Styela clava: one gene and its partner. The protein of the gene in region 1 interacts with the protein of each later gene in a biochemical or structural test. Links are inferred from orthologs where the notes say so. Each region holds a gene or a part of one and is shown in the gene's direction. Other genes may lie near its edges.

Region 1 (13,575 bases):
ACTGCTGATACTGTAAGGAATTTAGCGGTAAGGCATTCTAATCTTGGAAAGAAAAAATTGTATTTACTTTATTTAACAACATGTTTAATAAATGTGTAATTTTTCTCCATTAGAAGTAGATATTTGAATAAATCTTATCTCAGCATCTTGCTATATTTTGGACAGCTGTACCAGGATTTATGCCAATTCGCTAAGTGTACCGAAGATCTTCACAATATTATACCAAGATGACAACACCATGATACCTGATGTTGATCAGAATAAATTTGCCTCATTTATTACAGGGCAATGAATCAAGCACTCGGTCGTTGTATCAGACACAAGACAGACTGGGGTGCTCTCATCATTGTTGATGATAGATTTTGTAAAAATCCTAAAAAATACTCCAAGGGTCTGTCAAAGTGGGTTAGGCAAAAGGTAAGTGGACATGAAACAGCATCAAAAGAATTTATTAATAATACTGAAAAAATGATAATCACTACTTGCTTTGGCATTTTACCATTTTTTATCTTTTTTTACAACGTTTTTTTATGATACCAAGCTACCACTGTACCTACCACCTATATTTTATCATTGCCTCCCCAATTTATGATACCCTGGGAAATGTGGTGACCGTGGGATTTAAACTTGAGATCTTCAACTCGGCAAACCAGCATAGCTAAAGGGCTGTGCTTCAATAACTAGGCCATCATGCCCGCTGTCAGCAGTAATCTTCTACTTCAGAATTCTGTTTTTGAAATTAGCTTGTTCCCTGTATACCAGCAGTTTGGTACAAGTCATTGATTTTTGTTAATTCACAGATGATACCTTACACATCTTTTGACAATGCAATGTCAAATATCACAGCATTTGTACAGAGACAGATGTCAGGTACTTCTAATGTTTCATTACCAACCGTCAATGTTAACAGTTCACCCCCTATTACATCTTCTTCCACTGCAAGGTATGTTGACTCAGTGTTGTTCAATGGCATCTTCGTCACAACAATAAATTTTTCAATTGCTCAAATTACCACTGTTGGGTACCGGTTTCTAAACTCGCCCGACTCCAACTCGCCTTCACTTAATCTCCAACACTGTTCATCACAGCGATGGCTACTAATAATTGATCACCCACAAAATATTTTTAGTTTATTTCAAACTGTTATCTGCAGTAAAAAGTACCCCTTATTTCATGATGTATGAAAGTAAAATCAAATTGTGATTTTTTGAAAATATCATATTGTCATTCTATTTTAAACAGATCCATCTTGTCTTCAATTCATGAATCATTGCAAGTTGAAAAAGTTGAGCCTAAGTCAATGGATGTATCTCTGCATAGAAGTATCGATAAATCTTCTACAAAAAAGAAAAAGAAGCCTACCAAGCAAAAAGTTGTGACTAAGACTACAGAAAATATTCTTCATCATGACAACGATGAAATAGATTCAAGTCCAAATGATGATTTCCAGAATGAGAGTTTTGTTAAGTTTAATAGAACTTCTGTAAGAAAAAAAACTAAAGCTAAACCACCATCTCAGATGAATTATTCAAAAATTATGGAAAATAACGGTTCAGATGGAACAACGAATCGCAAAATTAATGAAAATGAAATTTCAGGACTTGAAACTATAGCCAATATCAAACCCACAAACAATTGTGAAAAATTTCACCAACAAATTCCAGTTAAACGGGAATCCAAAACAAACTTGTCAAATTCATCCAAAAAAACGATTTTAAAACCATCATCTGACACAGCTCTTTCAAACACAACACTTCCAATCCCAAGTACTCTGGATGTAATTGATTCTTTAAACGATGATGTAATGGTTGATGATTTGTTCGATTGCACAATTCCTGCCACCCCAGAAAAAATGAACATCACTGTAATTCCCGAATCACCGCCGTCAGCCAATGGAGATTCAAGTCACATCGGATTTCAGCGAGCATTGGGTATGTTTTCATTCACTCCCTTTACTCTGAATTTGTTTTAACAATATAAAAAGAGCAATTTTTTTTGTTAGGACTGGAACTCTCTAGTTGAGCATTGCCTACACAATTTATTACTTATTAGAACCTGTGATGTGTAACCAGCAATGCCAACACGGTGTAACGCTTAATCCGCTAGGCGGATAATATAACACAAGTTAAAAACTATTGATCGCTTATAACAATGATGTTGCGCCAGTCGCCTTCAAACTATCTATCATTTTTGGTACACAATAAAATATGTGTTAGCGCAATATTTTTGAGTTTTTGATTCGCGTAAAAATGAAGCATGCTCTGGATCAACTCAATGGGGAATCTCATCGATACCTCTTTTAAATCGAGTTTATTACGTGCAATCCTTTCTATGAAAGGGAGCAATGGAAGCATGGAGCGTTTTAGAACTTTTACATGAACTACTAAATTGCAATCATTGTATTGACGACGAGTGGCATCTCTCTACCATTTGCGCACGCCACATAGTAAATTTAAGGCTAGAAATGTCTGGAATTATGGGGAAGCATTGTAGTTAAAAGCTTTTTATTTTTCATATTGACATGTGAGAATTTTTGAATAGCCGCCCAGAATTGACGCAAGGTGGTGGGCTGGAAATCTAGTTAACAGCCAAGGCGCACATTGACCCACGTTTACGTTTGTATTATGGTCGCCAAGAAAAATAAAAATATATTTTTAAGTTGATCCAACAGCTATCTGCGGAACCATTAGGCAAAAAATATGAGCTACGACGTATGTTTGTGAGCGCGCGATGCTGTAATATGGTCGAAAACGTGTTTTTCTACTTTTACATTGTGACCTCACGGACTCGGAGAATTCGAGTTGAGTCCTTGACCTATTACTTGGATTTGTTGAATCTCTGTAATGCTGGACTCGTCCCATCCCTAATAGGTTGTGGTATCAGTTACTTTCTTGGATGACACCAGGACTAATCAGAAAATTTTGTTTGAAACAAAACTTATTTAGTTTTGTATCTATATTTATATTTGTGAGAATAATCTACTTTCAGATTTTGATTCTGGAATATCGTCAGCAAGAAAGAGAAAACTGACACAATCCCATACTGGAAGCTCAACACCTAATTCCAAGCGAACAGGTTTAATTTTTAAAAATTGGTTGTGTGTCCTTTTACACCTAGCAATTTCCTAGGGTGTATTATATAGTCAAGACAGAAGATTTCTCGGTACTCCTGTAGTGCATGTACCAGGTTAGATTTAGGCCATAATTTAAGTCCGATTTTCCTTATTTTAGTTCTATTATAAGTTCGGAGATTGTCTGTGTTAGTCAAATGAATATAGCCTACCCCCTGCCCATAGGTTGATGATGTAAAATAGGCGAACAAAATTAGTTACCGCCATATTGCTACACACACTCCTGGAGCGTCAGAATTTCACTTTTCTTTTATGAAATTACATTCAAATCTATCAAGCAATTATATTGTTTTTATATTTAGTTTTGTCACATTCAAGGAATTTTATCTCCCTGTTTTTTGTTTGCTTATACTTACACTAATTTTAGAAATGATCACAATTGACTGTATTTTGTGTTTGCAGATTTTCATACTCTTTTTCGTTTTACGTTCCAACATTTTGCATATTCATATATTTACATATTTATTTTATCTTAGATAAGGAGGATTTTGATACATCATCAAATTGTGAGCAGAATTCTGGTGATCTTTTATCACGGGCTACAAGAAAACAGTGTTTGAAAAAAGAGAAAGGGGTATGATGAACATATTGCTTCCATATTTATTCCTACAATATTCTAAGTTATTATACAAAGTAATCAATCAGTTTCAGATGTTTAGTCAGCACTCCTGTAGTATGTGTACCAGGTTAGGATTAGTCCATAATTTTTTTCCTATTTTCCCTATTTTAGTTCTATTACAAGTTCGAGGGCTGTCTGTGTTAGCCAAGTGAATATATCCCATGCCTATAGGTTTCAGTCCCTTTACACATCTTGATGTAAAGTGGGCGAACAAAATTAGTTACCTCCATATTGGTACACATACTTCTGGGGCGTCGTTTAGTTTATATAATATTGGTGTAACTGAATCAGGATACTCCTTATCTAAATCCTATTGTTCGTTTTATATCTGCACGAAGTAATGTTTTTATCAGGATTTTGACTAAGATTTTTTGTTGGGACAATGTAATCAATTTTCTTCAATTGACTTACCATTTGCATTCAAATATTTAGTACCTTTATATGGAGGTGTCTTTCAGAAGGCTATACCCTATAACACATTTTCCAGAGGCCCAGTGTTTTGTAATTTAATAAAATTGTGCCGTTGCATCATCTTTCACGCTGATCATAAGCGTATCGTATCACAAGCCTATTTGGTCAAATTAGCTCACAAGTGTTAACAAATACTTTTGATGTACTATCCTTGTATTCATGTAATTGTTCATTGCGCTCTTGTTTCTACTTCAAATTTCATATCTATTCATTTCAGACACACATTTCAGAAAAGAAGTCCGTTCTCAAATGCAAAACATGTACAGTAATACTTTATGAACATATTCAACAAACTATTGCATGTGAGAGGCTGCAATCATCATTTATTAACGAGAATTTTCTCGAACAAAAATCGATCATGTGTGATGTGTATTCAGTAGAATCAAAGCATATGGATTTTGAATTCATCACATTGATCACAGAAAATAGTAGAGATGGTAAGAATTTATATTGTATTTTTGACGGCCTTATTAGGCGAAACTATACTCAGCCTTGTTATCAGTGACCATAAATGATTAAATAATTAAAATTGCTTTTATGAAATTGATAGTTACTAATGGGAGACATGGTATGGAAAATAAGGCTCATGGAGCGAGCTTAGACTACTGGTGATAAAAAAACGCATTTGTAACATAGGATAGGATAGGATAGGATTTACATATTTATCCCGGGGGAGAGGAAAGCCGATAGGACGGCTTATCCATATGGCGAACCACGGCCTCTCGTCCGGTTACCATTCCAAGTCGGGTATTGGATTAGTTTTTACTGTATTGTTTGTTTTCGGAAGTATGGACTTGGTGGTGGAGGAAGCCGTAACCGACCAGCGGTTACGTGAACCACCCAACGACGGCGAGGAGTCCAGCAATCCTCTCGCACATAACCATCCCTGCATGGGATTCGAACCTGCGAACCCACGCAGAGTAATTAGAGGTGCGGTGGCGAGCGTATTCCTAACGCTTAGCCCGTTGAGCCACACCGCCGTACCACCACTGATGATGTTAGCCAGGGGTCAGCAACCTTTAGAGGTGCGGTGGCGAGCGTATTCCTAACGCTTAGCCCGTTGAGCCACACCGCCGTACCAACACTGATGATGTTAGCCAGGGGTCAGCAACCTTTTGTCGCTCGCGGGCCAAAATCAAAGGTTGCAAGTCATTGGCGGGCCGCACATATTTTTAGAATGTTAAAAATCGAATGGATGACCGATGAATCACATTTTATCACACAGATCAGAAGTTAAATTTTAAGCAGCGCGCGAAGACTGACCATTCGAATATTTTTTGCGCTATTAAACCATTTGTTTACTATGATTCAGTGAAGCGTCGCGGGCCGGATGATAAGATGATGTAAGCGCTGAAACATCTATAAGTTGTATCGTTGCAAGTATTCTGGGATGGTTTTTCCTACCCATCAGGGCTAACATTTGTATACAAAATAATTGTGTAAATAGTAATGACTGATTAAATGTGACTCCAGTTATTGAGATTTAAATCGGAATCCCTGTTTTTCTTCAGATTCAAGCATTGAATTAAATTCAATCTGGTGCGAAGAAGATCATAGGTGCTATCAAATATATCGATGTCAGTGTTGTATGAAACCGGTTGCATTTCAGATAGTTTCAGAACAACAGTTAAAAGATAAATATTTTTTCATATGTCAACTGGTGGAAAGGATTGATGACTGATTATTTCTAATATTTATTTCTACGTTTTCGTTTCTACTTGCCAATTTCATGTATGCACTTTCTATTTCTGTATTAAAGCCTAATTTTTAATAAATGAGTTCAGTGCAAAGCTGAATGAAAGGGAATTGTGGCGGTGTTTGTAAGCTCTTATTTTATTTTGAATTCTCTTACCGTAATTGAGTTTTTGACCCAAAGCAGATTTTGTATAAGCAATCATTTAGTTTAGAATTTCTGTGCTTGGGAGGACCGGAGTTTTCACGTTGTTAAGGGCAATCGATTGAAAATTTTAGCTCGCGCCCACAGCAAGTACGAAAGTTATTAGTTCCAAATAAATGTGAGTAAATTAGCCACTACATGGACAGAAAAAAATGGTTTGGCCTTGTTCATATATTTGAGCATTGCTCTCCTATTTCCGCAACAGCGTACAATCCACGACAACAAACCCGCGTAACAGTTGCTTTGTTCTGACATATTTCCAAGCATGGTCATGAACACTGACTTATTTTTCATAGTTACGGTTACCGGTACTGTTTGTGAAGTTTTAGTTATGTGTCCTAATTTAATAAATAAAAACTGTTGCAGAAGGCAGGAAGAGGCCAGTTTGAAATTAGCTGTATTTCTTTTATTGACAAGTAATTGAAAATTTCGATTTAGAATACCGTAGTGCTTTGTAACGACACAGAGGATAGCTAAACCTTTGTGGTAAAGTGCAAGACCCAACTCGCTAAGGCCATTGAGGTTATATATCCCAATAGCTAAGACACTTTTAAAGTCCAGGAGGGTACGTAACGTACTGTGTAAGCGTAAAGCATAGGGTCAAAGGTCGAGAAATCATCTATTGCTCCTCGTTTCGCGTTGCAATATGAGCAGTGTTGTTGAGGCTTAAGCATACAGTCATATGGTAGGATTTACGTATTTGTATGACTAATCCATCAATTTTCAAGTAAGAAAAAAATAATTATTTACAGTAAATGTAAACCATTTGGTAGAGACTGTTTAGGGCGTATAGTTTCAAATAATGGCGGAGAGGGTGAGCCTGATAAATGTGCTGCAGAAGAATCCCAAGAACATTCGGAATATTTGTATATTGGCACACGTTGATCATGGTAAGCTATTAGAATAATTTGTTTGCTATTTAGTTACCGGTCCTCCACATGGGTGGCCAAGTTCAAGTATTGATAAACACTGAATTTCAAGATTTTTCCTTGAGATGAAATTTTGGTGCTTAAGAGATAATATAAAATTAACCTTCAGGCATAGCTGTAAAAAAAAGGTTTTGAGCATTTAATGTTAACTCTGTCATGGTAACAGAAGGTAAGTCCATGAATTAGAATGCTTCGAAAATCTGCTTATTGAAACTTTCGTCAGTTATTTTTCAAGCTGGAACTACTCAAGTCATGGAATGTAAATTTTGTGACTCTTAAAATAGATTGATTGTAATCTCTGTAAAATGAATCATTAATCCTTATGCTCTGTATCTTTAATTTGTCTAAATTTTACCCGTCTTTGTAGGAAAGACTACTTTGGCTGATTCTCTTATAGCAAGCAATGGAATTATATCTCAACGATTGGCGGGAAAAGTAAGAAGGATTAATGTTTGTGTTTTAGTAATATTCATCAATTTTCAAGAATTACCAAAGCTCCATGTTTTTCCAATACAGATTTTTATTTCATTTAATTTTGGTGCACTTTATTGTACCAATCTATGGGGACTTGGGTTCGGCATGTTTTTTATAGATATTGTAGTTTGAGAAGGGGTCGTAGTTTAAATTGTAAGGAGTTGGAATGAATATTTCAGAAATAATTTCTAACGAGTTGACTAAGCATTCTTAACAGACAATTAAAAAGGTTATACATTAAAGTTTTTGTTATCAAAATTTTAATTCTTGGAAAGATCGGAGCTGAAGTCTTGCAAAAATTCCTTTTAACCAAGGTCTGGTGTCTCAAGTTAAATCAAATCGGTGTGAATATTCCTCCATATTTCTGGTACGAATAGCGTTTGTGATATAAATTTATTTTATTTATTTGCCTTTTATTATTTTACAGTTGAGATACATGGACAGCAGAGAAGATGAACAAATTAGAGGAATAACAATGAAATCGAGTGCAATTTCATTATATTTCAAGTCTGGTATGACAATTTTTTTTTCTTTAAAGTATCCATCCTTCAGTGCGATGATATTGTGTGATTATCTGAACTAAGTGAAATGATCAAAATTGATCTACAACAACTCAGAAGTATTTTTGGTTAAGTTGCTCTTTTACAACTTTTAAATTTAATTTTGTTGTCAATATTTTGCTCTATCTAGTTTTCCCTATCTTAAATTTTATTAGAAAATTTGCCCTGTTGAGCAGGGGTCCTAAAATCCAGAGTCGCAAGCCAAGTCCGCCGATTATTCAAGCCTAGTCCAAGTCCCGAAGTTTCTTCAATCACTGAGTTAAGTCTAGCTAGCGAGTAGTTGTTGGCGAATTCATCACCTAGATGACTCGGATCATTTTGAATCTTTGAGACGAGTAAATAACCGGAGCCGTCCCAACACTGTTCAATAGTGTTTTAGCAAAACCTGAATAATAAACTTCTAACTATATGATGCATTTAGAAGGCCCAGTTTGCATGTGGTTATTCTGTATAAATATGTTATAAACCCCAGGTGGGTATAATTGGCTATTGTTAGAGTGAAAAGCTATATTGGAAATCTACTTCACTGCCATACAGCTGAAATAATATTCTTTTTTAGCACAGCTCTATGGACTCATCTATACTGCCATTGCAGCCTTTTTTGAGTTACAGATCTTAGGTTCATTCTCGCCCACCTTCTCACTCAGAGTTTATTAAATTGGGAAGTGAAAGACGTTATTATTAAAAGTGCCATGTAAAAACAATTTGCATATGATCTACTGTTTTTTCTTTTCAAGGAGATGCAAATGAATATTTGATCAACTTGATTGATTCACCAGGACATGTTGATTTCTCGAGTGAAGTTTCAACGGCAGTTCGATTATGTGATGGCGCCATTGTTGTTATTGATGTTGTCGAAGGGGTTTGCCCACAAGTGAGTTTCATTGCTGGCCGTCACAATATACAAAACTCTGATTCAAAACAAGCGAATTTTACCGACACGTTTGACTGCTGCAAATATGACATTGGCCTAGCATTACTAATAGTGATAGTAGACTAGGTTATTTCTCATTAACTGCCACTTGAGGAAACAAAGTATAATCATAATATCTTCTTATATTATATTTGTTTTAATTTTAGACTCAAGCTGTACTTCGGCAGGCCTGGTTGGAACGTCTGAAACCAATGTTAATTTTCAACAAGATGGACAGATTAATAACAGAATTAAAACTCACTCCACAAGAAGCCGCAATGCATTTGCAACAGATATTAGAGAAGGTTTTTATTCTATTGAATGACAAAATTATAATACTCCCGAGTATACATGCTTGCCTGAATAAGATCCTCTTATGCATATATAAATTATTATGTAATCAGGGTCATCCATTGTAACTTCTTTTTTAAGCACATTTCTTTCTTTTTTTCAACATGTGATGATAAGAGCTTTTTATATAAGGCCCTTCAAACCATGGGTTCCTAAATTGTGGTAAATTTACTTGCTTAGGGGGTCACTTTCGTTTCATTCCAATGAATAATAAAATTTATTTGTTGAAAACAGCAGATTGAAACCTTTTTGGGACTGAAACGCCTTTTGTTGTGTGATAAATGTAATTCAGCTTTTACTAATGGGAAGACTTCTTGTTTGTTGGTTACGGATGAAAAATTAGCATTGCTGCAATCAATTTTAATCATCTGCATCCACACATCTACACTGGGATTTCCTATTCCTAAGCCTTTATCCGTCATTCATTTGTAGAAGTGAAAATACAAAAAAATTAGTAAAGATTGAACATGTGTTTCAAGCCGTCATATAAATTGAATAAATAGTGTATTTTGCCAAATAATCATCAAACATCAAATCAAACTGTCATTTTTCACCATCAGAGTGCTGTATGTTAAAGCTTTGGTTAAAAATTGCTTTGCATTATCTTTTCATGTGTTAAGTTTATTTTTGCTCTTACTAGGTCAATGCCGTCACAGGAAGTTTATTTTCTGCTGAAGTTCTTGAAAAGTCAAATAAGAATACAACTTCTAATGAGGCTGAAGTTGAAACAGGATCTGATGTGAGTAACTTCATTATTTTCAAGTTTTAATGACATCTTTTGCATTATTGCTGCAGGACAAACAGTCGAAGGGGATAAACACATTATGATATGTTAGGGGACCACGTAATGGGAATCTTTCTGTACATTACAACTTTACTGATTACTTTGTATTATTCATTTTGCTAAATTCATTGTTGTTGTTCTTCTTGTTCGGTTGAGTGCAAATGTTATGGAAAAATCACTTTTCTCTACAATTAATAAATGGTAAAAGCCGCTAGTGGAAGTCCTACAGGATTTCACTAAAATGCTGTTTTATATGAATGAAAGGGTTTTATTTCTCAAGTACCGATGCACGACGTTCATGTTGATATATTCCAGCATTGCTCTTTTGCAATCATAGTCGCTTGCATTATTCATGCCATACCATGAATCTTAATTTTGGCGTGTCTTGTACGGTATTTATTCAGTTTCTTTTATAAAATATCAGATCGTTTATGACTGGAGTGCTGGTCTAGAGTTGACGGATGATTCTCATCTTTATTTTTCTCCGAATGCTGGAAATGTTGTTTTTGCAAGTGCAACAGATGGATGGGGATTCACGTAAGTTTTCTATCTATTTTTTTATTCTTTTTTTTCGCGAAACTTCTTGGAGACGAGAAAATTATTTTCTTACTTGGTATCAGCTTATTTCAGTTCTATTAAGTAATAGTTAAACAATAAAATTCGAAACTTTTGAAGACAAGGCAAATTAACTTTTTTGTCACATTAAATAATGGTAATCATATAGATAGAATTGTACATACATGTTTTCTCGGTTTGCAAAGCAATGTGATTGACAAATTAATTATTCTTTCATAGAATCGACCACTTTTCTAAACTTTATGCAAAGAAGCTTGGCATTCAAGAAAACGTTTTGTTGAAAACATTGTGGGGCGACTACTATGCAAATGTAAAGGCCAAAAAGATATTCAAGGGAGCTCAAGTATGTTATAAATAAGATTTCAAAACTTTTGGATAATATCAAATTGAGTTAGCATTCCAAATATCCATCAAGTATATTACAGGTAAAACCTAAAATACACCAGCACACCAACTTGAAAATCTTTTTACCTTTTGAATTTGTTTTCATTTGGCTGTGTGTTTAGGTTTGGCGTAGGATGTATAAACATTTTGTTTGATATTTTAATTAGATTTTGATGATAATGTAAGACTTAGAAAGCCCTGGCTAATATATGTCTCTTTTATCATTTTATTTTTTTTTTGTATTATCACAAGCTTAAAGTCTCATTAGATGGTTTGTGTTTTTATGCATCTATTTATGTGCGATGTACTGTTGTTATATTTTGTATGTTAGTGAGAAACGAGTGCTTTCCACATTTGAAACTTTACTTCAAGTTTTGTATCTTTTTTGGGTTCTCCTCTTGTTTTTTTTGTTTTGGATGTATATAGGGTAAATCTATATCAACTCCCCAATGTGAACTCTCTGTGTGAAAGTTTGATAAATATTATTTTACTTTGTAGGCAAAAGGAAAGAAATGTTTGTTTGCACAATTTGTGTTGGAAAATATCTGGTCATTATATGACACTGTGCTTGTGAGGAGGTTGGTAAAAAATGTTATTACTTGATCTGGATTATATATTATGCGTAATGGAAAATATTCATATTCCTTTGGGATATTGAGACTATGGAGGACGGGAGGTGGTCTGAAATGTTCAAATAATAGATAGATAGTTTATTTTAAAAACTCTGGAATACTTGCGAATTAAAAATAGAAAATTTTCACTGTGAACATTCAACCACTGATATCCAGAAAAATGCAATGAGCTATTATTATTTGGACGGACCAAAATTTTTCTGGTTTTGGGCGACGTGGTTGTCATGAGATTTGAACCAAAGAAGTCTATGCTGCAACGCCAACACAGTTGAGTCAAACGCTTTTAACTGCTATGCTATTGTGCTGTGAAATTGCCACATTCGAAGAGAAATAAGCAAGATACTAGGTGACCTTGTATTGTAATAAAAAAAAACGTAAAATTGTATTGCTTAGTACTGTAATATCAACCTGATTATTTATTTTGTGTTTATTAATCACTCCAGGGACAAAGATAAATGTGAGAAGATAGTTCAATCTCTAAATATAAATGTATCTGCAAGAGATAAAAGATTAATCAGCACTGAACCTAAATCTTATCTACGTGCAATATGCAATCAATGGATTCCTTTGTCTCAAGCTGTTCTATGTATCCTTTCGTAATAGAAATAAATCAAATAGTTATGAATCTGATGGAATCTGTAACATATTAATTTTATTGATCATAAGTGATGTGTCGCAATACTTGGTGATTGGTATTCTTATGGTTTATCGATTTTGAGGTTCAAGCTGGAGTCGTTTTTCCAAACTTCTTAAAGTCTGGACTCGGGAGACATAATTTCAGACTTCTTATGGTGATAATCGAAGTAGTAATTTTTAACGAGAAACTCACGAAGCGCATTAATCGAAGTTGCATACAAATTTCTTATGAGCTAGAATCTGGAGATGAAGCCATAGCGTTTTTAAGAAGGTGTTAATTCTCCCCGACGGGTCTCTGCTTACGTTACTTATTTTTTGATACATTATTAAACATGATTTAATATGAAATATTTCCTTATCTTTCCCACTTGTGCAGCTAGTGTTTGTTTGCATTTGCCAAATCCTTTATCTATATCTGATGAAAAAGTGGAAGGACTGATGTGTGGAAATTCACATAGTTTTGATTCGTTTCCCAATGAAACGAAAGATTTAAAGCCAGGTAATTTTTAATTTTGGTTTGGTATTGTATTGGAATTCTTTATAACAAATGCTGGAATGGTGAGAGATGTTATAGTATTTGGTAAGTCGAATAAAAGTTCATTATCAAAGTGAACAACTGAAACAGACAGGGCACATGCTTAACACAGCATCAAGGACAGACTGTCCTTTTGCAGCTGAATGAACCGTATTTATACGAGTGACTAGCAAGGCATGCAATGACATACTGATGACAGTGATGATTACTGTAGACAAAAACATAGATTTATGGAAAACTGTTGAACTAGTACTATGCATCGGTGTAGAGGAGGTATGAGTCGTTGAATCAACTCGAGTTGAGTTAATTTCGAAATGACTAGATTCATCTAAACTCATCAAACAACAGACTAACTCAGTGATTGACTTAACTTTAGATTCAGACTTGACTCAGATAACCCATGGCTAAACTTGACTCACAACTCTTGTTTAGGGGCCTCTACCCAACCATGTTATTAATATATAAATTTTACTTATTCACAAAATATACTCATGAATGCGAACTACACATGCTTTTTCATGGTTTTCGTACAGAATCAAAACTGAGAATTAAGTTTATGACTTACCAGGCAAGGGCAAAGAAACTAACCCAACCTGAGCTGAGTCTGTGGGGGCAAAATCGGTGTGGGGACGACCAAACTGTAATTTGAAATTTGAAGAAGTAATTTCTATAAGCAATTTTCCC
Region 2 (12,254 bases), on another chromosome or scaffold:
GTGACGTGTCAATATATTTGAGCATAGCTCTCTTGTATTCATATATAATTTGCAGTTGATCGTTTTATTAAATTTAGCATGAAAAATGCAACAAGAATACATAAATTAGACAGAGAATGAGGAAATACCAAGCTTTTATATTGTTTTTTTCCTTTTCGCCGCCTATGTCTCATACATCTGATGTACAAATTTTGAAATTGCAATAGCTTTCACAGGATATTAAGTATACTTGGCGTTGCATAGAAACTTACATCATGATTGACTTATGTATTAGATCAGCGTTTCCGAAACTTTTTCAACCCCGGAACACCAAAAAATGAAAAAGTAAAATTGATAAAGGAAAACGGTGTAATGTAATGTAACCAATGGGTTCGTCTGGCGAGTTGCCAAATGCGCCACGAAAACTAACAGAATTGTGTTAAATACCTAAAATATGATTGAATATTTTAAATATTGTATTTATTATTAATGTTTTATTGTTTCTTAATTTGAATGCTGTGTATATGAATCAACAAATTTATTTGACCTTTCTATGTCGTTTACTTTCCATTACGTAGTGTTTGTCTCTAATGTTACGTCTAATGGAGATAGAAATACATGCTGCAACTTTGCGAGCTGCAGTTTATTTATCTGCTGAATCGAGTTTAGCGAACGTGAGTAATTTTTTCAGCATTTCAAAGTAAAACCAGGCAGAGATGGCGGAAGATTTGCCTTTATTCTTTAGCCCTACTTGTTTGCCTATAGCAAAACTAAAAGGATTGCTGCAAACTTGATAACAAACTTAACAGTCGAAAAGCTTGGCCGACGGTTAGCGAAAATGCCACCACCTTACTTTATAGTTAGTCTGCTTTAGGCCGACAGTGATGCGATATTGAACGATCAGTTGGGCAACAATTTCACGATCGCCATGGCGACCCATTTAGACGTATTTTTGATTTAACACTAGGAAGACTAGTGTTCCGCGGAACACAATTTGCGAAACGCTGTATTAGATGTCCTATTTTTCTTACTTTGCAAAATCTTATAAATTTGTTTAGTGAATAAGTCTTTCGACCCATTGTACATATCAATTAATGTTCTTGTCTGTAATTTGTCCCGATAATAATTGAGGTCTAGGTCTAGTGTAGTTCAGTACCACAAGTACTTCTAGTGGGCTTGTCCTGACCAAAGCGTATAATATATAATCATATGTTATATATATGTAGCCTATATTATCATATTCTCAGCTCTCTTTGCGCAACAAACTGACAAAATTATGAAATTGCAAACAAACCAAAAAAAAAATGAATATCGGGCTCAAGGAATTTGTCAAGTCTTGATTAAAGTTTATAAAAGAGTTTATAATTAAATGAGCATTACATTAATATAAACTTAAATTACTATCAGGGAGGAAAGCCGATAACACGACTTAACATATGGTGAACCACGGCCTCTCGTCCGGTTACCATTTCATGTCGGGTATGGGATTAGTTAGGTATTTGTTTTCGGAAGCATGAACTCTATGCTATGTATATTTATATTTATGTTTAAATGGTTGCCTGCTATTCAATGCTGCTTCCCGTTGTGGGTTGGACATCGCTGGTTCAGAAGTTACATATCTCCTTCTGTTAAAACCTAACCGCAAAATCTTGGCAGAGATTCTGTCATATAGCTCCTACGTTTGTGGTCGTCCAAACAATGGCGTGTTTGCATTTTTTTGGGCAAACTTTTCATATAATGTTAAGTAATGAAGCGTATACATTATGATTCAATAGAGTAATAATATCTTTAGTATGACAAATGGGTGTCACTGATCTAACTTTAGTAGCAAAATGCCAATACCAGATAATCGTCATGTCTTGTTTCATTTTTTGCTAGTTCTATAGAATTGGTATTTAGTATTCTTTCGAGTTTACCGTACAGCTGAGTTATTCATTTATGTCCGCATATACTTATAATTTCTCTTTAATTATCCCATGATCATTTTTGCGTCAACAACCGGAAGAAGTTTAATTTCCGTATGGATCAATAGCTTCATGAATGAAAATATACTCTTAATCGAAAAAACATTAGCTCGTTGTTATCAGCTTGGTGAGAAGATGATGATGATACCACGAATCTTTCACTTCACGTTATTGTTCAACTTTTTCTTAGCACGCAGGATTAAATATGTTATTGCGATACCAGACCGAAATTGCAAATTACCAGAACAGCCTTATATAGATTGGACGAAAGTGAGTAGGCCGCTCTCTATTTCTTATATATTTGATTCACCAGTTTTTAGACAGCAATGATTCAGAGCGGTTCGTTGAGCGAGAAACTGGTTTTGCTTAATGAAATAAAGTGGGTTATCTACGTATTTCTTATTACAAAGTTTGTGTTTTTTTCAATTCACTTTCTCGTCTCACCAAGATATCATAAAAGTATGAAAAGATTATTAATTATATATAATATTGCGATATAAATACTCTATCAATAACATTTCTTTATTGAAGTATCATGCAAAATTTAGATGACAGGGAAATGGTATGAACACATGGCGAACGATGGAGAAAAACCACACTGCGATATAATAGACGATATTAGTTATCAATTATATGGATTCGATATGTGGATGACGCCGTCAAATCCAAGGTATATGAAATCATGTGGTCTCTGCTCATCTAATCTATTGAACTCGAGATACTGGTATCCTGAGTAAAATTTATATCGCGTAATTATTTTGTTTTATATTCTAGAGGAGGCATTATTTATTCTCTAACAATATCAATAAAAGATAATAAAGGGCCTTACAAGGTTTGGTATTTCGCAAGTAAGTGAGCTATTTTTTCATTCTCACTGATTAGACTTACTTTTAAATTACGAACGATTTGTTATCATATATTCACTCGTTTAACCAAGCACAAATCACAGACAGGTAAGTCATATTGAATTTCACAGTGAGTTTTCAGTGCAAGTTTTGTTCATATGTTTTAGATTCATTCATGATAGATGTGAATGTTTGATCTGGTATCGTTGATTTCAAATTGGATAATATTTATAACTATATTTTTAATTCATTTGTTCATTCCAGAAATTACGAAGCAAGAGCGCTCATTTTTGGAAGAACTAAGAATGAATTTTTGTCGAAATATGTCGAAAAGTAATAACGGTTAGTAGACGAAGTTTTCATGTATGGAGAGGACAATTGCATATACCGGTACCTATTATTTCAAATTGTCCTATATGGGGGAGAACAATTGCATATGCCCATTATTTTAATTTGTCCCAAAATGGGATTTATATATATCTTTGAGACTGTTTGAATCCGTGTTTTTTTAAACTCTCGTTCTTCAATATTGCAACAAAAATTGCTTTTCAGGAACAACACATATGGAAGCCGTTTACTTATCCGATTATAGCAATTACCTCATTTCATTACAATGTGGAGCAAGAGGTGAGATGTCCTACAATCCGAATAACAAACATTCGTTAAATTAAAGGATTTAATATTTCTTCCTCTGTCGAAAAGCGATATATATATATAAAATAGCGATAAATTTTGTAATTTTTTTTATTACTCGATTGTTAACATAGGCGAGCGATACGTTTGGACATTTGGACGCCATCGTACTCGAACACTAAATGACATTCTGCGAGAAAGGAACAAACTCGTCGAAATCGGTGATGGGTGGAACAATGCTGTACTTTATCTTTCAACATGCTAATTGAAAAACTATATTTTGTTATTCTATAAGGATCGCACCTCATTTTTTTGCTGCTATCCACATTTTCAACTTTATACATCGAGCACTATCAAATCGTAGCAGCAAGAAAAATAACATAGTCATGGGAAAGGCACCGCTTCTTCTAACTAACCATATCTTGATATACCATGAATATAATCCCATAAAACGTCATTGCAATTATTTTGTCCGTAACGAGGAACGCCAATGCTTTAGAAAATATAAACGAGACTTTAGACTTCTATCCTGAATAATGTTTTAAAAAAATCGGAAAACGATCGTTAATACTTAAATTTTGACTCCATACTCCATTTGATTAAATTATAAATGGAATAGTAACATATGTCACGGGTTGATTCACCAAAATTACATTTCGAGCTGTAAAACTGAAAATGGATCTTGATGGAATACCGCTGGAATATTCATATCAAATAAAATTCCTGTTAAGCAACCAATATAACTAATCCCATACCCGACTTGGAATGGTAACCGGAGGCCGTGATTCGCCATATGGATAAGCCTTCTTATCGGCTTTTCTCTCCCCCGGGATAAATATGTAAATCCTATCCTCCTAAGTAAACACTTGGTTCCCGGAAAAATAAGACAATATGTATATTCTCTTCTGATAGAGTGAAGTTTTCAGTGATGCATTTCTCAAGCTGATGTTCCAAATCTCTATCAATAGTCTATGTGGCGTAAATTCGGCAAGATACGGCTTATTACGATCTAGTGCATATATTTAAAAAAAACTTCAATCCTGATTGAAATCGGCAGCCTTTACCTCGTCAGAAGCAAAGTAACTTCATTTTTTTCTCTCTACCGACGGCATGAAATAAAATTTTCCGGAATCCGATTTCAAATTTTGAATATGTGAGTAAATCCTAAATGAATGGCTACATATCCATCGATGCTTTGTTTAATTTTGTCACATTTAGCGTTGCCAACATGTGAACAATTGACATTTCAATGTTCATTTTCTACGTGTAGAATTGATGCCCAAAGATCGATGCTAAGGTTTGTAAGGCCGTAAATATGGTCAGACCGATAATCAAAGACCCCGAATAAGACTTGACCAGAATGAGTACCTTTTTGTGTCATTTGTTTAAACATTTTGGATCAAAATGATATTTATGAGAAGTAATTCGCAAGAGTCAACTAAAAAAAAACACTCTCAAAATAGGCCTTCGTTTCACATATTTTTGCAATGGACCTTTCCCCGACCTTCGACCCCCGAAAAACTAATACTTAACCATTGCACAATTTTGGGGGCTATTTTAGAAGTGCTTTTGCGAGTTGGCGCTTGTAAAATTTGGTCAAGTGTTTCAAACCATCATTATAATTCATCGCATACAACAATCTTTTTTTAAAAAATGCCGGTAACGAATTTTAGCCTAGTCAATCACAGTTATTTCTACACTAATTTTTTATTACTGCAATTAAATTAAAACTCCTAGGAAGACAGGGTAATCAATGAATTATATAATTTATTTTTAAGTTTCCGAAACACAAATGAAAACTAACGAATATAGTTCAAAATCGCGAAAACGAGGTAATGTTTACAACCACGCTTAACAATCTGTATGAGTTAGAAAGATGTCTGAGCTGATGCGAAGTATAAGTATAAGTTTATTTCGACTCCATAATCAGCATAACAATACATTTGACAGATAAAAACAAATCAATAAAAACTAATTATGAAATCAGGGGAGCAAACGAAACCTTAGATAAAGTTTATAACGTACAAAATAAAAGATGGAAGATTTTGCATAGAGGAAGTGGTACGTGTTTACTCACTTAAAATTATTAAGGTATTTCACACACGCTCACATGCACCCACCGCCACACACAACCACTGAGAAGTTATTTAAGTAAGAATAAAACGCGATAAATTTAGGGTATACTATACAGTAAACAAAAAAAAAGTAATAAATACTAGAAAAGAAAAAAAGAGGGGGGCATTGTTACGAAACTTTTTGCATCTTACTGATTAGCCAATGCCACAAAGTAAACAAGGAAATCGATGCTCGGGGAAAGGTTTGAATGAAACTGGTTAGACATTGAAAATATTTGGGGTCAAGGGTCAGAAAACATCCATTGCGCAACAAAATGCTTGTAGGTACACTGGCATTACTATCACTGTGAGTTATAAATCAGTAGAGACTGCATTACCGTGCGGAATATTCTCATCCTATTCAGAAATTGCCAATGCTGGTAATGTTACGCCTTTGTGACTAGACCAGTAAAAACAAAACCTGGAATAAGAAATATAGCAGGAAATGATATGTGTGTGTTATGTGGAAAAGAACCAGAATTTGTTAGCCATCTATTTATGAATTGTGAATATTTTGATTATGTTTTTGATTTTATGGAAAATACTGTTAGGAAATTAAATAATGCCAGACTTTTGAAAAATTATGAAACTTGTGTTTTATTGGATTTAAGCTATTTGTTACATTCCAACACGAGATTTAGATATTATTGTTTATTTAATTTCAATCACTAGATATAAAATATGGATACAAAGAAATTCTGTTATATTCGAAGGTAATCCCCCTAATCAGCACCTAGTTATCAAACAAATAAAAACTGCAATCACTTACAGACTCAACATTGAAAAAAATAGAAAATCACCAAATTTTGTCAGAGAATTTGAAATACCTAGGAATTGTATTTGAACTATAAATCTAGTGTGTATAAATTTAGTATTTATTAGAATGAACATGTCTAATATATTTAATTTTTTACGTTTATTGTACATAATCTAACTCAATATACTAAAAATTGATGAATTGTATGCCGATGCGATCAACACCTCAAACACTGATGGAATGGACATATAAAAAATGAATATTGGATTATTTATCTTATGATTGCTCGAATGGTTATATACTTATTGTTATATTTTAATATATTATCCCATTAAAAAAAAAAAAAAAGAAACAACAGCATAGACTCATAGTGCTGTAGTGTTAGCCTTGAGCTCAGATAACTGTGTCTATACCAGTCTGCCAGTGGTAAGAGTGGTTCTCAAACTTTTTGAAAAACTATGCATAACGGTCCCCTCGCAATTTTTCTGATGACTAGCGGTCCACTAAAGAAATGGAAGCAAATAACAACGCGGTATATTAAGCATTCATCTATTGAATGACATTAAAACAGTTTAATGGGAAGGATGCGCCTAATTGACCTACAGGGGTGGTGACTCCACTACGACCCATGGGCCGGGGCCACGGCCCATCTAATTGGGCCACACGGGCCGTGGCCCATCAAGCTATGGGCCGCGGCCCCGTCAGGAAAAATTCAATTATCTTACCAAAAAATTCAATTATCTTACCAAAATTTTCAATTTTTACAAAATTGTCAATATTCGAACCAAAAAATAAACTCCTGTAGTATGTGTACCAGGTTAGGGTAAAATTTTGTTCAGATTTTTTACATTATAGTTCTATTATGAGTTTGGGGACTGTCTGTATTAGCCAAGTGAATAGTTCCTTTACACAACTTGATGGGCCGCGGCCCATAGCCTGATGGGCCTAGGCCCAATTTGACGGGCCGTGGCCCCGGCCCATGGGCCGAAGAGGAGTCACCACTTCCACTCTAATTGACTCCGACTAGTTCTTCTACCTTGGATTCTGTTTTAGATAATGCAACTCTCCTATCGAGTCCCACGTCCATTCTGTTTCAACATATTTTTTTAATGGCGAGTAACGTGGAAAAAGTTGCCTCACCTTCGTAAGTTGTTGCAAATGAAATGAGCATTTTAGTACCATCTTAGCGTCATCGGAATAGGACGGTGGTTTTCCTTTTCCTCCAGAACTTAGAAAAAACTTACAATCAGATGCGCACGCCTTCCATAAACAATACGCTCTTATTTGCCGTACTTGGCACGTTAACCAACGTTTGTTACGTAATAATGTTTTCAGGAGAGTGTGACGTTCTTTGGAGAAACACTGTAAAAACATGACATCAAAATTCCACCTCAAATCAAAGTGCTTCTGTGCCGAGGTTAAAGTTGTCAAGAGACAACTTTAACTTCAGCACAGAAGCATTTTAATTTAAAGTAAAATTTTGATATCATACTTTCACAGTGTTTTTCCAACGCACGACACACTCAACCGAAGACATTATTACGTAATAAACGTTGGTGAACGTGGCAAGTAGTGTAAATCAGAACGTATTGTTTATGGAGGGCTTGTGCATCTGATTTTAAACTTTCTCGGGGTTAGTTAAAAATGATTTGAGAGTGATGAGAGTTGCATCATCCAAATCATAACTCAAGGTAGAAGAACTAGTGGGAGCCAAGCAGGCCCACCTATCTCATTGAACTGTTTTAATGTCATTCAATGATGAATGCTTAATAGATATCAGGTTGCTATTTGCTTTCATTTCTTTAGTGGACCGCGAGTCATCAGAAAAATTGAAAGGGGACCGTTATGCATGAGACTGAGTTACGCTTATGACTGGAAACACATAACACCAGCTTAAAGTTAGCCTTGTTCTAAGATAATTGTCCCAAACACAAAAACACTATTTGCTTTTTTAAACCAATATTCATGTGAATTTATTCTGATATTCATCAAGCGTTCCTTTTTGATATTTTTTCATAAATAAAATAGACTAGGTGTTAAGAATAAATGAAAATATAATATCCTAGTTGGGTAATAGCGAGAATGTCATTAATATTCACTCCTGTCAACCAAGTGCGGTTGACAAATGTAGCAGTCGTGCGTATGAAAAAAGGTGGAAAGAGGTTTGAAATTGCCTGCTACAAGAACAAAGTAATGTCTTGGCGTAACAAATCTGAGAAAGATATCGATGAAGTGCTTCAAACTGATGCGATATTCACAAATGTATCTAAAGGACAAGTTGCTAAGAAAGAGGATTTGAAGAAATCATTCGGTACAGATGATGTCACAAAAATATGTGTTGAAATTTTGGCAAAGGGAGAATTACAAGTTTCAGAAAAAGAACGCAGTGACCATCTTGAATCAAAATATCGAGATATTGCAACAATGGTTTCTGAAATGTGCGTTAACCCCGAAACGAAGCGTCCATACACAGTTACTGTTATTGAGCGTGCAATGAAAGAAGACATACATTATTCTATCAACATGAATAGAAACGCCAAGCAACAAGCTTTACAAGTCATTAAATTATTACAAGAAAAAATCTCTATCGAACGTGCACAAATGAGAATGAAATTGTACATACCGGGTAAGACCTCAAAATCAATCAAAGAGAAGTTGAGACCGCTTTTCAAATCTATTGAAAACGAGGAGTTCACGGATGGACTTGAAATCGTTTGTTTAATTGATCCTGGTAGTTATAGACAAATTGAAGAATTGATAAGTAAGGAAACAAGGGGAAAAGGAAGCACAGAAGTTTTGAACTTGAAGGAAATGAAAGAAGTGGAAGAGGTTTTAGAATGAGTGTTGATTGTACGGAATTGTACCCTAAAACATGCATGCTAGCAATTCAATTGTGTTTGAGATATCTGCCTATACCTGAATATTGGGTATTCTAGTTAGCAACCAGTATTCCAAATGAACTACTTTACATCAATACTTTGTTATAAATCATTTTAACCAGCCTACTGACAAAGAGTGGCATTGATTCAAGGTCGCATACTGCTTCTTGCCGACCTTAAGCAATCTCATCTGTCTTGGAACTCCCTAAGTCCTAACACATGAAATACAATGCAGTATACCTATTTGCGGATGCATGTTGTTGTACTTCTTGAGTTCTACTATTTCATACTGCCTGTATTGTTGAACAATATACATTTTCTTTCTGCTTATATACAAATAATATATTTTTGGGTTTCTTGTTGATCATTTACAATAGTGATTGATGGCACAAAAAATAAGCAAGCTCAGGATTTGTTATATTCAGAATCAGATATTTATAAGCTTTAGACTACTTAATATTGCATTGCATTCTGGAATATAACAAATAGATGGATGTCAGAACATTGATAATAAGTAAGTTGAGGCAGTCTTGTAGAAATGATATATTGATTAACATTTGCAAAGAAAAATGGCTTTTAATCTTGTCGCGCTGGTATACACACAAGTTATATGACTCAAAAGCTTTGACAGTCTTTTACTTCAATCACATTATTAACAATGATTTTCTATAAAATATTCAAACAAAATGACAATTGTTATACAAAGATTTACAATTCCGGAGTGAAATTTATACTCTTGCTTCATGAAATCTGAAGTGTTTATGCATATGCAAGCTTTCTTGTTAATAATGTTTTTTTAGTTATCATCAGAAATTTCTACGCACGCTCTGTTAATAAAAACAGCAAAACTCAAACGACTTCAAAGCACTGACCAGAAGCACTATTAAGATTACACTTTATACTCCTGTTGGAAGGAGAATGCCACACATATCGCTTTACACATTCAAAACCAATATTTTGCTTGGGAATGACTTGCTTTAACAATACCTTTTATGCCTGGAACAGCTAGTTTCAAAACATGAGGATGGATGAATAAAGATATAATATGTCCTGATTAGATAAAGCCAGACTATGCTAGAAAGTTATGAAGAATGGCGTTCAAGATGGTTAATAAGTATTCAAATCCTCCACGTTGACTCTTTGTCATCTTCGTCCTGGGCAAAGTCATTCTGTATGACTGCGTCTGCGGTCTCACGAAGCTTCTGCAGTATTTCTTCAGGGATGATGGTGGCATCATTTGCTGCTTAATTTAAAACTGGAAGTTAATCTCGATCTAACTTGAATGAGAATGTTTAATCATGAAGGTTGAAACCACAGAATTTGTTTAATTGAACCTCAATAGTAATTCTAATTCAAGTTATGATTGTAGAGTTGAAATTTCAGAATTCTAAGGCGGTAAAAGAAGTCAAAAAACAATGAGTTTCCTAAGCTCTCATCCTAAGCTCTCATAAAAGTTTATAAAAGAACCTTGCATATATGGAATTAATTCTCTCAGTGTCTGAGACTTATAAATTTTGTTAACTCCAAGTCCGCAGATTGAGTTAAATATTTAGTCTTCCGTTAAAGTTCCAGAGCTGCACCAAAAGTAAACACAAAATACAATCTTGCATTTCAATTCTATATTGTTATTTTTACTGCAAATTGTTTAAATCACGCAAGAGTCACAAAACCAACACTCCAAACTTGCTAGAACTGTTGTTAAGTCTTTTATTAGCTCGGAGGCCAGGATAGAAATAGGTATAATAATTTTGCTCTTACTTATATTCATATAAAGATGCTCTTTCACTAAGAAATACATAAGCAATAGCATTATATATAGGTTTGGCATTTAGAAACATAGCAGATAGAAATAAGACCTATAAATTACATTTAAATTACTATGAACTAAGAATGAATCATCATAATATAAATCACAGGCAGTGCTGTTTAAGTGACCAACTTGGAAAATAGACTAAAGAATTGGAATATTTTGACTGAATCAATTACCATATCCAAATCAATTCCATCTTATGACTCACTACTTGTTAATTACGTAGGAGCTAGGCTAATTTTTTAAATAACTCAAAGTGACTAATTTACCATTATTTGCTATAAATTGTGAGAATGAAAAAGGGGGGGACTCCTTAAAATTGCACCGAATTCTATTTTTTGATTCATAATGAAAATTGTAAAGTTGAAATTGAGTCTTTTGCAGTTGGAATGTAAAAGGTACGTTACAGAATTACTGTGTATAAGTCATTGAGGTTACTGTATTTGGGAAATTATTTTTGTTTGATAGAATGTTGTTCTCCACTTAATAAATACAGAAGTGAAAGTTTGGTCAGGAGAGTGCAAAGCAATAGCACAGCTCAAGCAAAACAATAGATATTATTTAAACTGCCAATATGTGACATGCCAATATGTGATAGAAAATTTTAGTTGGTCATTGTTTGACTGATTATATTTCAGATAATATAAATTGAGATGGAAATTCCTTGAAAATGCTCGATTCCACAGCATCTATACTAATTTAGCATTGTAAAATATCTAGGTAGCAGAAATACACATAATATGATTATTATTTTTCGGGGAAAAAACACACTGCAACAAGTTTTTTCTCACCCCTGGAAGTCGACATAGAATAGTTTCCTTTTGTTCCATATTTTTGATATTTTGAAATATCAGAATTACCCAACCCTAAAAGGCAGACCCATATTGTAATAGAAAAATTAATTTAAGATGTACATCCTACATTAAAAATATGTAGTTTCTACAGAAGACAAAGCGTTACCATAACAACAAATTCTGAATTGATCCAATTTGACTATACTGTATATATCGGTTGAAAATGAAGAAAATGAAGTGCATCGACTTTCATATAAACTATACATTGTTGACGTTCTAGCATGTAAACAGCATCATCTTAATTAAATATCTTACAGCTGTGGGTATTCACAATTTGTGTGCAAAATGTGATTTAATATATAAATAAATATAATCATATGTTAAAAACTCAAGAAAAAAAATGATACATTTTTGTGTCCTTTGTCAGCAGCTCTACAACAAATGAAAAATTTACAGTAATGCATATTACAGGTAAATAG

Evidence for each region.
Region 2: the proteins of elongation factor-like GTPase 1 (region 1) and ribosome maturation protein SBDS-like interact in a biophysical measurement, tested with the Homo sapiens proteins (2 studies listed by BioGRID and IntAct, with this or other methods). The link is inferred for Styela clava from reciprocal best matches to the Homo sapiens genes EFL1 and SBDS.

What each region holds. Positions count from the first base shown.
Region 1 is NC_135257.1:17,278,021-17,291,595, reverse strand, and holds the start of elongation factor-like GTPase 1, read left to right. Parts: upstream 1-6,796; 5' UTR 6,797-6,919; coding exon 6,920-7,007; intron 7,008-7,413; coding exon 7,414-7,481; intron 7,482-7,947; coding exon 7,948-8,032; intron 8,033-8,817; coding exon 8,818-8,954; intron 8,955-9,160; coding exon 9,161-9,298; intron 9,299-9,984; coding exon 9,985-10,083; intron 10,084-10,552; coding exon 10,553-10,665; intron 10,666-10,923; coding exon 10,924-11,047; intron 11,048-11,586; coding exon 11,587-11,666; intron 11,667-12,163; coding exon 12,164-12,306; intron 12,307-12,732; coding exon 12,733-12,855; intron 12,856-13,575. Other genes in the region: Fanconi anemia group J protein homolog, read left to right, coding at 285-417, 801-943, 1,243-1,931, 2,989-3,075, 3,607-3,704, 4,438-4,657, 5,732-5,901. UniProt on the Homo sapiens protein: GTPase involved in the biogenesis of the 60S ribosomal subunit and translational activation of ribosomes.
Region 2 is NC_135262.1:15,398,292-15,410,545, reverse strand, and holds ribosome maturation protein SBDS-like, read left to right. Parts: upstream 1-8,317; 5' UTR 8,318-8,374; coding exon 8,375-9,133; 3' UTR 9,134-9,215; downstream 9,216-12,254. UniProt on the Homo sapiens protein: Required for the assembly of mature ribosomes and ribosome biogenesis.